2 linked regions of the Oryctolagus cuniculus genome follow. The main gene of each other region encodes a partner of the protein of the gene in region 2 in a complex. Links are inferred from orthologs where the notes say so. Each region holds a gene or a part of one and is shown on either strand. Other genes may lie near its edges.

The links. Proteins that work in one complex are often made in the same cells at the same time.
Region 1: the proteins of PDHA1 (region 2) and PDHB are in contact, whole or in part, in a crystal structure (PDB 3EXE), measured with the Homo sapiens proteins. The link is inferred for Oryctolagus cuniculus from reciprocal best matches to the Homo sapiens genes PDHA1 and PDHB. Residues at the interface, in NP_000275.1 of Homo sapiens: Ile87, Arg88, Gly89, Phe90, Glu137, Leu138, Thr139, Gly140, Gly148, Lys149, Gly150, Gly151, Met153, His154, Asn164, Gly165, Ile166, Val167, Gly197, Ala198, Asn200, Gln201, Gln203, Gly228, Met229, Gly230, Thr231, Arg235, Ala236, Asp296; in NP_000916.2 of Homo sapiens: Glu59, Gln62, Tyr63, Ala66, Asp84, Pro86, Ile87, Ser88, Glu89, Met111, Phe115, Gln118, Ala152, Gly153, Val154, Ala155, Ala156, Gln157, His158, Pro297, Val323, Arg324, Val325, Thr326, Gly327, Ala328, Asp329, Val330, Met332, Pro333.

Annotation. Positions count from the first base shown.
Region 1 is NC_091441.1:91,557,839-91,562,951, reverse strand, and holds the end of PDHB (pyruvate dehydrogenase E1 component subunit beta, mitochondrial), read right to left. Parts: intron 4,708-5,113; coding exon 4,600-4,707; intron 4,515-4,599; coding exon 4,452-4,514; intron 4,351-4,451; coding exon 4,315-4,350; intron 4,200-4,314; coding exon 3,914-4,199; intron 2,887-3,913; coding exon 2,776-2,886; intron 2,455-2,775; coding exon 2,363-2,454; intron 1,318-2,362; coding exon 1,176-1,317; intron 538-1,175; coding exon 392-537; 3' UTR 17-391; downstream 1-16. UniProt on the Homo sapiens protein: The pyruvate dehydrogenase complex catalyzes the overall conversion of pyruvate to acetyl-CoA and CO(2), and thereby links the glycolytic pathway to the tricarboxylic cycle.
Region 2 is NC_091453.1:5,375,570-5,382,623, reverse strand, and holds the start of PDHA1 (pyruvate dehydrogenase E1 component subunit alpha, somatic form, mitochondrial), read right to left. Parts: upstream 4,688-7,054; 5' UTR 4,552-4,687; coding exon 4,495-4,551; intron 1-4,494. UniProt on the Homo sapiens protein: The pyruvate dehydrogenase complex catalyzes the overall conversion of pyruvate to acetyl-CoA and CO(2), and thereby links the glycolytic pathway to the tricarboxylic cycle.

The DNA.
Region 1 (5,113 bases), on a different chromosome or scaffold from region 2:
ATAAAAACACAACTAGTCATAGTTAGGAATTTCTTTATTCCTTATCAAAACAACCTACAGTAAATGTAGATTATACACTTATTTAATACATATAAGTTATATATTCTGGATATATCTTTTAAGACTGCCACATCTGTATCAGTCCTAGTGACAATGGATAAAATTTTCTGTTTATTCAAAGAACAAGGCAACTAAAACAGATAAAAGCAGGCAGGAGTCTAGGGCAGCACAGTGGAGAATTCTCTACACACAGACATATTTAAACTTCTTCCCAGTACAAAAACACATGTTGCTGTAGAGATTACTTTATGAATAGTGAGATCTTGCAGTACAATCCAGGTACCAGCAAGGACTTTAAATAAATTTCAATGGCTAGATTTTCAGGTCCAAATTAGATATTTAATGTTTTCTTTATTGCAAATATGATGTCTTTGACCTGAGGTATAGAGTTGTCTTCTAGAATCTTTGCATAAGGCATAGGGACGTCAGCACCAGTGACACGAACAGCAGGTGCATCCAGGAAATTGAATGCAGGACCTAGGAGAGAAGGAAGACGCAACTGAGGTGGGCAGGAAAAAGCAGCCGAGCACTCGCACGCTGGCAAAAATGGCTGCGCAGGAAGAAAAAGCATAAGGTAAAATAATACTTGTTTTGGGAAAGACTTTCTGTTTTTTTTTTGTTTTGTTTTTTTTTTTTTTTTTGACAGAGTGGATAGTGAGAGAGACAGAGAGAAAGGTCTTCCTTTTGCCGTTGGTTCACCCTCCAATGGCCGCCACGGCTGGCGCGCTGCAGCCGGCGCATCGCACTGATCTGATGGCAGGAGCCAGGTGCTTCTCCTGGTCTCCCATGGGGTGCAGGGCCCAAGCACTTGAGCCATCCTCCACTGCACTCCCTGGCCACAGCAGAGAGCTGGCCTGGAAGAGGGGCAACCGGGACAGAATCCGGCGCCCCGACCGGGACTAGAACCCGGTGTGCCGGCGCCGCTAGGTGGAGGATTAGCCTATTGAGCCGCGGCGCCGGCCTGGTTTTGTTTTTTAAAATATTAACACCATACAGTAAGTTCAAAGTTCAAGGCATTTGGCTACCCTAGCTTTTTTTCTCTATTCAACACGTGTTCAGGTACACACTGTTTGTTACAGTTTGACCATATTCTAGATCCACTTTCTTTGCAATACCTTCCATGATCCTGGCACAAATTTCAGCTCCTACTCCAAACTGTGGCCAGCCTCCTTCCACTGTTACCAGATGATTTGTCTTCATGACACTGGCTTCTATGGTTTCAATGTCCATTGGTCTGATAGTACGCAGATTTATGACCTAAAGAGGAAATACAATAAATAAGCTTTATAGAGCCACTGCATCACAAATACAAGGGTACTTCAAAAGGTTTGTAGAAGAGGAATTAAAAGATGAGTTTATTTTGGTGTGGAAAAATGCTAAATCCAGGCATACAAGGGATCTTTAAAAAATAGTGCTGGGGGGCCGGCGCAGTGGCTCACTTGGTTAATCCTCCACCTGCAACGCCAGCATCCCATATGAGCACCGGGTTCTAGTCCTGGTTGCTCCTCTTCCAGTCCAGCTCTTTGCTGTGGCCTGGGAGGGCAGTGGAGGATGGCTCAAGTGTTTGGGCCCCTGCACCCACGTGGAAGACCAGGAAGAAGCACCTGGCTCCTGGCTTCGGAAGCTGGGAGCTTCTTTTGAGTTTCACACATGGGAACAGGGGCCCAAGGACTTGGGCCATCCTCCACTGCCTTTTCCAGACACTTTCTGATCCAGGGAGCTGGATCAGAAGTAGAGCAGCTGGAACTCAAACTGGCACCCATATGGGACGCTGGCATCGAAGGCAGTGACTTTATCCACTATACCACAATGCCAGCCCCCGGCTGCTCCTTTTCTGTTCCGGCTCACTACTATGGACTGCGAAAGCAGTAGAAGATGGCCCAAGTCCTTGGGCCCCTGCACCTACATGGGAGACATGGAAGAAGCTCGTGGCTCCTAGCTTTGGATCAGCTCAGCTCTAGCTGTAGCAGCCATTTGGTGAGTGAATCAGTGGATAGAAGGCCTTTCTCTTTCTCTCCTTCTCCCTGTCTGTAATTCTCTTGCAAAAAAAATAATAAAAAAATCTTAAAAAAAAAAAAAAAGAGAGATTGCTCTAAGCATTCAGCCATCATCTGCTCCTCCCAGGGAGCACATCATCAGCAAGCTGGCTGGGAAGTGGAGCCGGCACTCAAAATCCACCGCACCCTGAAATGGAATGTGGGACCCTAAGCAGCGTCTTCATTCCTGAGTCCAATGTACAACCCCTGGCTTCCAAGTTTAAAAGGAGCCTTTCTGATTCTGTAACAGGTGAATGTCCACTTACCTCACATTCAACTCCCTCTTTAGAAAGCACCGTTGCAGCTTCTAAACAGTGGCCCACTGGTCTCGAATGGGCAACCACAGTTATGTGTGTCCCTGAAACAGAGTGGCCACAGGTCAGAGGTCAGGTCAAAAGGAAAGATGCTGCAGCACTCCTGTTTGTGTCAAGTCTTCAAGTCAGCTTCATTTCAGTGAGCTGAGGACTGAGGCAGCCTTCTCAGAAATGAAATACAAATCTACTGGACCCAAATTCAGAAAAGCGCTACTGTGTGAGAAGTCAGGGCATCACACATTCTTTACTTGAACTCTTGTAATTTTTTAATCAGGGTAAAATGTAAGAACATCTAGATGACATTTGACCAATATAAATAGAAGGGCTGGATTTAAAATAATGCTTAAACGTGTCAGTTCTCTTACCTTGTCTTTCTATTTTGGCTTTTCCGATAGGAATCAGAAAATCTTTTGACTGAGCTTCGGCAGGAAGTTCAAAAGGAACTCCGTACATCAGTTCATTCTCTAGCACCACCACTGCAAAGTGTTATACATATTGAAACCAAAGTAAGTAACTCATTACATCCACTGTGAAGGTCAGTGTGCTTTTAAGAAAGCTGTATTTCTATCTTCTCTTTTAAAGGTTTATTTATTGGAAAGTCAGAGTAACACAGAGAGAGAAGGAGAGGCAGAGAGAGAGAGAGAGAGGTCTTCCATCCGCTGGTTCACTCCCCAATTGGCTGCAATGGTCGGAACTGCATTGGATCGGAAACCAGGAGCCAGGAGCCTCTTCTGGGTCTCCCTTGCGGGTGCAGGAGCCCAAGAACTTGGGCCATCTTCTACTTCTTTCCCAGGCCATAGCAGAGCTGGATCAGAAGTGGAGCAGCCAGGACTCGAGCCGGTGCCCATAAGGGATGCCGCCGCTTTATCTGCTACGCCACACACAGCGCCGGCCCCTGTATTTCTATTTTGTCCAGAAGTCTGGATGATGGCCTGAGTACTTAAATATAACTATCTACTGAAGTTAAACCAGTGTTGTAGGTATGCAGTAAATATCTAACTGGCCTCTTCCTAGTCTTAAGAAAAACTAGCAATGGGGCTGGAGCTGTGGCATAGTGGGTAAAGCCGCTGCCTGCAGTACTGGCATCCCATGTGGGCGCTGGTTCGGGACCTGGCTGCTCCACTTCCAGTCCAGTTCTCTGCTATGGCCGGGAAAGCAGCAGAAGATGGCCCAGGTCCTTGGACCCCTGCACTGGCATGGGAGGCCTGGAAGAAGCTTCTGGCTTCGGATTGGCCCAGCTCTGGCCGTTGTGGCCATTTAGGGGGTGAGCCAGTAGATGGAGGATCTCTCTCTCTCTCTCTCTGCCTCTGCCTCTCTGTAGCTCTTTCAAATAAATCCAAAGACAAAGAAAAAACACATTTCTTACTATCTTTACTGCATCTATAAATCTTTAACATTTATACAATATATTTAAGCTTAACTAGAATCCTTAAAGGTCCTTCTATATAAAAATTTCACTTTAGTTTTACTGTTCAAAAGAGACTGACAGCTCACTCTGCTGACCTGGATTGTTATCCCGAATGGCCGATTTTATAAGTCCTTTTGCATCCTCTGAATTCCAGGGGCTGACCACCTTTAAGCCTGGGCAGTGCCCATACCAGGCAGCAAAGCACTGTGAGTGCTGGGCAGCCACACCAGCTGAGGCGCCATTGGGTCCCCTGAAGACTATGGGCACAGGCTGCAGGCCCGCCGACATGTAGTAGGTCTTGGCAGCTGAGTTTATAACCTGGTCAATGGCTTGCATAGAGAAATTGAAGGTCATAAATTCACAAATGGGCCGCAACCCAGCCTGTGAGATCAAAAACATGCATGTTAAAAGACAAGGAACAGCAGAGTGGGAGGCAGTATTTTTAAAACGTCATGTTAAATCTCTTTGGGTGAGCCTCACAGAGACTATTACGTACCATAGCTGCACCCACAGCAATTCCAGCAAAGCCCATCTATAAAGGAAAACACAAAGGAAGTGAACATCAGTAAGACTGAGGCGAGCGAGCACTAACGGACAAGCCCTGCAAGGCCGGCTTCCTGGTAGAAGGCTCACCTCGGAGATGGGAGTGTCTATGATCCTCTTGTCTCCGTATTTCTTCCACAGGCCTCGACTAACCTACAAGAGATGACCGCATTAACTTTCAAGTAGATCTCGGGGCAAATGGTGACCTCAGCGTGCGTCTTTCATATATTTTGGTTACCTTGTATGCCCCGTCATACTGGGCAACTTCTTCCCCAAGGAGAAATACCTTCTCATCTCTTTCCAGCTCCTCATCCATACCTTGGTTGATAGCATCACGAACTGTCACCTGTCGCAAATACAGGAAAGTAGTCAGTAAGCTACAGGATTATTTAGGACACCACTGAGTCTCTTCCTGTATACTCACCTAGGCTGCCCTAAGCCTGGGACATAAAAACACATTGGAACAGGCTTCTCTTTTAAAGTTCAAAGAATTCTAGAAGCAGCGTTTGTGTTATATATACTAGTCTTTGAGAAGTTTGCTGATGTGACAGGCTTTCCTTGATGAGCACCCAAGATTAAGAAAACTACCTACTGGCCAGGTCAGCTCACGGGCGGCTTTCCTGGGGGAAATGCAGGCTGGGTTGTTTTGTTAAGACCCCTGGAGTACTATCAAGGAAACCTAATTCATGCTAAATATTTTTTAAGATTTATTTATTTAGGGCCGGCGCCGCGGCTCACTAGGCTAATCCTCC
Region 2 (7,054 bases):
AACCAACAGGCAATGACACAGCCAAAGGGGAAAAGTACCAGGAATCAATGCTTCAATTAAGTTAGAGGAAGTCCATTAATGTGTCTCAGAATAAGTAAAGGTGACGGGGTGAGGTAGCAAACAAAAGGTTATGTTTGGCAATCATGAAATGATGTTATTTTTGGCGGCTAACAAATTATTTGAGGGACCAGAAATACTGTGAAATAAGTTTCTAGATACAACTGCAGAAACTGCAGTCTTTGGAAGCATTTAAATGTAGGGACCAAACCAGGCAGGAAATAATAACAAAGAAAAAGCTAAACAACTTCTCAATTCTAAAGTAAAAACAATGAAGAATGAAGAATGAAGTGCTTATACCGGAGTGCAGGAAGGGCCAAGGTTCTGATTGACAGCTACTTCCTTTCTCTGCTTGTTGCATTATTATGAACCTCAAAAAACTAAGAACCACTGATACAGCGGGAAGAAGGAGCAAAGTTAAGAAAGCTAAAAGTCCTATCAGAAGCACAAGTACTGTAACTTTTAACTGAGATTGCTGAAAAGGTTACCATTGATTTTCTCTGGAGAGCTGTCAAACTTTGAGACCATGAGCCATTCATATTTCGGCATATAAAAACTTTTTAAAAATTTATTTATTTGAAAAGCAGTTACATAGAGGCAGAGAAAGAGAGCGAGAGATCGTACATCAGTTGGTTCACTCCTCAAATGGCCACAATGGCCAGAGCTGAGTCCATCTGAAGCCAGGAGCAGCTTCTGGGTCTCCCTCACGGGTGCAGGGGCCCAAGGACTCGGGCCATCTTCCACTGCTTTCCCAGGCCACAGCAGAGAGCTGGATTGGAAGTGGAGCAGCTGGGACTTGAAGCAGCGCCCATATGGGATGCCGGCACTGCAGGCGGTGGTTTTACCCACTACGCCACAGTGCCGGCCCCCAAATAAAAACTTGAGTTCCTAAATACATTAGAAGCATTCAAGTGAAAAACAAGGGGAAAAACATTTCAAAAATTCCAGATTCCACCAATGGCAAATAGAAATCTTACCTATTATTTAAAAAGCCAAAAGAATACTAGGAGTAAAGATCTCCAAGGGTGCCAGTCTTGTTGTGTAGTGGGCTAAGCCGCCACTATGATGCTGGCATCCCATATGGGCACCAGTTCATGTGCCGGCTGCTTCACTTTTGATCCAGCTCCCTGCTAATGACCTGGGGAAAGCAGTGGAAGATGGCCTAAGTGCCTGGGCCCCACAACCCAAGTGGGAGACCTGGAAGAAGGTCCTGGCTCCTGGCTTCAGCCTGGTCCAGCCCCAGCCGTTGAAGCCATCTGGGGAGTGAACCAGCAGATAGAAGATTCTCTCTCCTCAACTCTTTCAAATTAATAAATAAATCTTAAAAAAAAAAAAAAAAAGTATCTCACGTCATTGAGGCCAGTGCTGTGGCAGTGTCAGGCTGACACTTGTTTCAGAATGCCAGTTTGAGTCCTGGCTGATCCAGCACCCTGCTAATAAACCTGGGAAGGCAACGGAAGATGGCCCAAGTGCTCAGGAAACCTGCTACCCACATGGGAGACCTGGATGGAGTTCCCAGCTCTGGTTTCAGCTCAGCCCAGCCCTGGCTGTTGTGGCCATTTGAGGAGAGACTCAATGACTAGCAGTTCTTTCTCTTTCTCTCTCTCTCTCTCTGCCTTTCAAATAAACCTCTTTAAAAAAAAGAAGTCGCAACAAATAAAAACACTAAGACAAAGATTATGATTTTAAATGCAATTCAGTCTTCTATAAGAATTTTTAAAACTATCAATTTAATTCAAAAATAAATCACAAGCTTGTAATTCATTCAAAGTTTCCTGCCAAACATGTCATGATACAATGATAATCGACAAGCCTGAGATAAATCACCATACATCCCTGGTTTTAAGAGGAGAAAAGAAAAAAAAAATGAAAAGGGGAAAAAACAGAGTTCTGGAAGGCAAGATAGGGCACAATGTGGATAAAGTGTCACAACCATCAATCAAACGAACCACTTGACCTTTCTCCATCCCCTCCCTCTCTGAGTATCACACAGATGGTGCAACTCTAGTACCCAATTTGCCTAATTTAGGTTAGTCGCAGTTGATTATTATCAGGATTTTTGAAAGGCTTATTTGCAAAAAATATTTTTACATATATATGAAAGTAAAAACCTTGATTATTTTGTTTTTTATATTTAAATAAAAAGACATCCATAAGTATGAAAAAAATCACAAAATATAGTTATTCTCAGGGGTTGGCCATTTAGCATAGCAGTTAGGATGCTGGTTGGGACACCTGAATCCCACTGTACCCGGGTTCAAGACCCAGCTCCACTCCCAAGTCCAGCTTCCTGCTACATGTACTCTGGGAAGCAGCAGTCATGGCTCAAATAGTTGGGTTCCTGCCAACCACATGGGAGACCTACACTAAGATTCTGGCTCCCGCTCCCGCTGGCTCAGCTCCAGCCATTGCAGATATTGAATGAGCAAACAGAAGATCTCTCTCAGTCCATCTCTGCCTTTCAAATAAAATGTGTAAACCCTGACACATTGGTTTATTACTCCATCCTTTAAAAAGATAAAGGTGAAACATCTGGTCCTTACCATCTTCAGAAGTTTCAGAAATGCCTCCTAGTTGACTAGCACGTGACACGTATAGTCACACAGAAAACTATCTGTAGAGTTTGCACCAAGTGGGAAGCTGCCTGGGTACTTTAGGGTGACCTGACTGCTGGAACTCAATTTTTTTTCCTACTGGAAGGTAGGGGAAAAGAATAAACCTGAGTGCCTAATAATAACGATTTAAGGGTGTTTCTGAGCCCCTAAGTACTGGTACATCTACAAACCGGTATCACCAAAAGGGATGACTTAGAGAAAAGGCAGAAACTCTGCTAGCAAGGTTTGACAGTGGAAACTTTTTATCTATTAGTTTCCAATCGCAATTCAAATTCTTGACACCTCCCAAGTTTAACTTTGAAGTTCCTGGGAAACTGTTTCTTTCCACTAAGTGCGAAGCTTCAATAACAAAGTTTCTACTGCTTTTGCACTTCTAGTCTATCCAATCTCACAGCAGAAAGGAAAGGCCACTTAACTTCTGCAGATAACTAAAGCACTGCACAATGCTGCAAACACGTTTCTACTGCTGTTTTTCCACTAAAAACCAATGCTAGGGGATTCAACGAGATAAAGCTGGGAGGTATCTACTAGTGCCTAGCACATACTGCGAGCTCAAGAAATGGTGGCTGGAGCCTGCGTGTGGGCAGAAAAAAGGAATGCCCCTTGTGCTTCGCCATCAGGTCAATCCCAGTACAATTCCAAGGTCAATACAGTTCTGATCAATCAAATTCTCCTGTAAATCTTAGTAAATGGGATTCCTAGAGGGGTTCAGCCGCTACCTTTTGACAACCTCTGCCCAGACTAGGCACAGCTGCATCGAGTCCTGGGAGAATTACTAGAACCGGAATTACAAGTCAAAGCTTGGCTCTGCAGTTATACCAAGTAACCCCATCTCACTGTGCCCAGAGGTCAAAATGCTAGCAGCTCAGGTGAAAGGCGCATCTGAAAACTGGGGCTGCAAATAGCTTAAGTGCGATTTCCTTTAGCCACCTTTACCCTAAGGGGATGTGTGTACGTCCCCCCCCCCCCGCACTTAAGGGGGGAGAGCAGTTTCCTGTGGGTTCCGCTGGACCGCTTTCCACTGCCAAGAAAAGTTAAGCCGGAGAGGAAGTGGGTTCCTGGGGAGCGTGACCACGTCTAAACCCTCAGACACCCACAAACGTACACCAAACTGGGCGGTCAACACAGAGTACCCACTATGTGCCAGGTGCTAGTCGGAAACGTTTACGCACGCGTCACTCGTAGAATCCTCAGACAACCCCACGAGGTAGGTACCCTCATATACATTTTAGAGATAAGGACACTGGGCGGGGTGGAAGGTGGGGGGGGGGCGTTCAAAACTTGCCCAAGCTCACAGGACTGCTGTTTGAATTCCAGCCAGTTCGTTTCCGGATTCCACGCTCTTTACTAACACCCACTAAAGGACCTCTCAGCCAAGACAAACATTAAGTTAGGGAGAACTGAAATGAGTGGGGTCAAGTGAAGACTCTTACAAGCTTAAGGCACCCCCTCCATACCCTGCAACCAACGGGCACTTTTCGAGCACACCTAATCGCTCCGCGCGGAGCTGGGCTCGGGGAGAGCCGGAGAGTCGTGACCGATCTCCACGCGGACCCGGCAGGGGTTGCCCCCCCTCCCCAGTCGGCCGCCCAGCGCCGTTCCCCCCCGAGACTAGACGCAGAATGCACGGCGTGGAGGCAAAAGCAAAAGCCCGCAGCTCCCCCGGCTCCCCGCCGCATCTTTTACTCAGCGCCCAATCCAAGCAGCGCGTCTAACTGCGAGCCCCGAGGCCCGGCCCGCCCTTCGGCCTCCTCCGGCACCGCCTCGGTCCCGTTCGCGCTCCATCCCGATCCGTCCAGGCCGCTGGCTCGGGCCGCCTCACCGGCTTCTGGGCAGCGCCAGACAACACGCGGGAGACAGCGGCCAGCATCTTCCTCATGGAGCGCAAAGAAGCTGCAACAACGGCGACTCCCAAACTGCCCAAGGGGAACTGCTAAGCCGACCCCAAGTCTCCTTCAGGCGCCCCAGCAGAAGCCACGCCTTAAACGCAACGCGACGTGGCGTCGGAATGACGTCATGCGCCGCGCCGGGCCGCGGGCCAACCAGGACGGCTCCCAGGCTGTGTTCCGCCCACTTGAAAGGCCTGCGACCACCCATTGTGTGTCGGCGCCATGGGGGGCGGAGTTGCGGCTTCCTCGCGTCACCATGCGGCGGGAGAGGGAGGGGTCGACTATCTGAAGGCGCCTGCGTGGGAGAGTGGGTCCCCGCCTCCAGCCTTCTGGTTGGATTCTGCGCAGACGACGGTGGTAGCCTTCAGGCTGGTCCTGACGTGTGGCTGGTCCTGCTGGTGCTGTAACTGCAGCCTTGGCTCTGCACACGAGATGATGAAGATTAGCAGCCTAGCCGGGGCCGAAAGATAGACGGTACAGTCTTTGTAAGTGATTCTGCCACTAACTTGGCTTTAAAAGATCACGTAATACAATCTGGTCTCCCACGTGGTTGGCAGGGATCCAACTACTAGAGCGGAGCCGTCACCTGCTGCCTAGCAGGGTGCGCTCTGCTTTTCAAAGAAAAACAAATAGGTAAAGGATCACATAACAGTTGTAAAATGCTGCTGATTCCCCAACTAAATACTGAGGAGTCAGTGGGAAAAACCTTTTGGCTCTACTTACTGATTCAGAAGCTCAAAGAGAGTTAACAGCAGGACACAGCCAAAGATAAAAGGACACAGAGAAACAGACTCCAAAGCAACTGGGCTCTGTAGAGAGGAGTCAGGGCTCAGAAACCCATCCTGCTGGGCCCTGCTGGAATTGCACCTAAGGTTCTGGGTTCTGAATTGGCTCCATTTAAAGAAGGATAATGACAAAAATGAGTGGCATCCAGAGGATGGCGGTCACAATGATGAGGGGCTTAGACTGTGACTTGCGAGGAATGACTCAAGGAGTTAGGAAGAAACTGGACTGATTTAGAGTGAGCTAGGTTATGTTGCTGTAACACTCAACCCCAAATTTTAGTCTCTTTAAGAACATCAAGTGACTGGCCAGCGCTGCGCCTCACTAGGCTAATCCTCCGCCTTGCGGTGCCGGCACACCCGGTTCTAGTCCCGGTCGGAGCGCCGGATTCTGTCCCGGTTGCCCCTCTTCCAGGCCAGCTCTCTGCTGTGGCCAGGGAGTGCAGTGGAGGATGGCCCAAGTGCTTGGGCCCTGCACCTCATGGGAGACCAGGAGAAGCACCTGGCTCCTGCCTTCGGATCAGCGCAGTGCACCGGCCGCGGCGGCCATTGGAGGGTGAACCAACAGTAAAAGGAAGACCTTTCTCTCTGTCTCTCTCTCTCACTGTCCACTCTGCATGTCAAAAAAAAAAAAAAAAAAAAAAAAACATGAAGTGACTTAGCTTGTTCATACCACAACTTCCACAGCTTGGCTGGGACTGCACTCCATGTCATTTCTCTGGAACCTTGAGTGATGGAGCAACCTCTGTCTGGAACTTAGCTTGTCTCACGGTGAAGGGAAAAGCTGTCACTTCGAATGGCTCTCAGAGCTTCTGCCTGAGATCAGCGTAGTGGTGGAGTGGGCTAAGCCAATGCCTGCGATGCCAGCATCCCATATAACCACCAGCTGAAGTCCCAACTGCTCTGCTTCCAATCCAACTCCCTGGTAATGCACCTAGGAAAGCAGCAGAGGAGCAGAGGATGGCCCGAGTACCAGGATGATGTGTTGGGCTCCTGCCTTCAGCCTGGCCCAGCCCTGGCTGTTGCAGCCATTTACTAACCAGCAGATAGAAGGCCTCCCCTCCTCCTCTGTCACTCACACCTTTCAAATCTTTCTTAAAAAAAAAAAAAAAGAATGATCTAACCCGTAAGACATATTTGTTTGTTTGTTTGTTTGTTTTTAAAAAAAAAGCTTCTGCCAGAAGTAACACATATCACTTCCTCTAATGTGCAGGAGGGAGACCAGAAAATTGGGTGGACAGCAACAGTGTAGAGGACTTGGTACGTCTTCACACTTGTACTTCCATGACCAGGTTGCCACGCGATGAGCGCTCCCTAAAGGCTGAGAGGGACGGGATGGCAGTGAAGCAGGCTGCCCAGCGTGGCCTCCGCAGATGCTGCTGCTGCCAGAATGTGGAAGCTGGAGAAAGGAGAATGAGAAGAGTGCGAGGCCAGATGGCCAGTTTAGAGAAGCCGGCCTGACCGTTTGTGGACCTGCTGGCCTGCAGGCAGTGGTGGGACAGCTCCCCGAAGTTGTCCCCCAGCAAGTGGCAGTTGTAAGTCTAGGACACAAGCTAGAAATATAAATTTGGGAGTCATCTGCATAGAGCTGACATTGGTTGTGTGCGTCCAGGAGCCCTGTCGGCTCTATGCATACACATGCATTCATTCTTGCATTCCTTCAACACCTATTTGTTAGACACCAATTCTGAGTCAGGCATTGGAGTAGGCA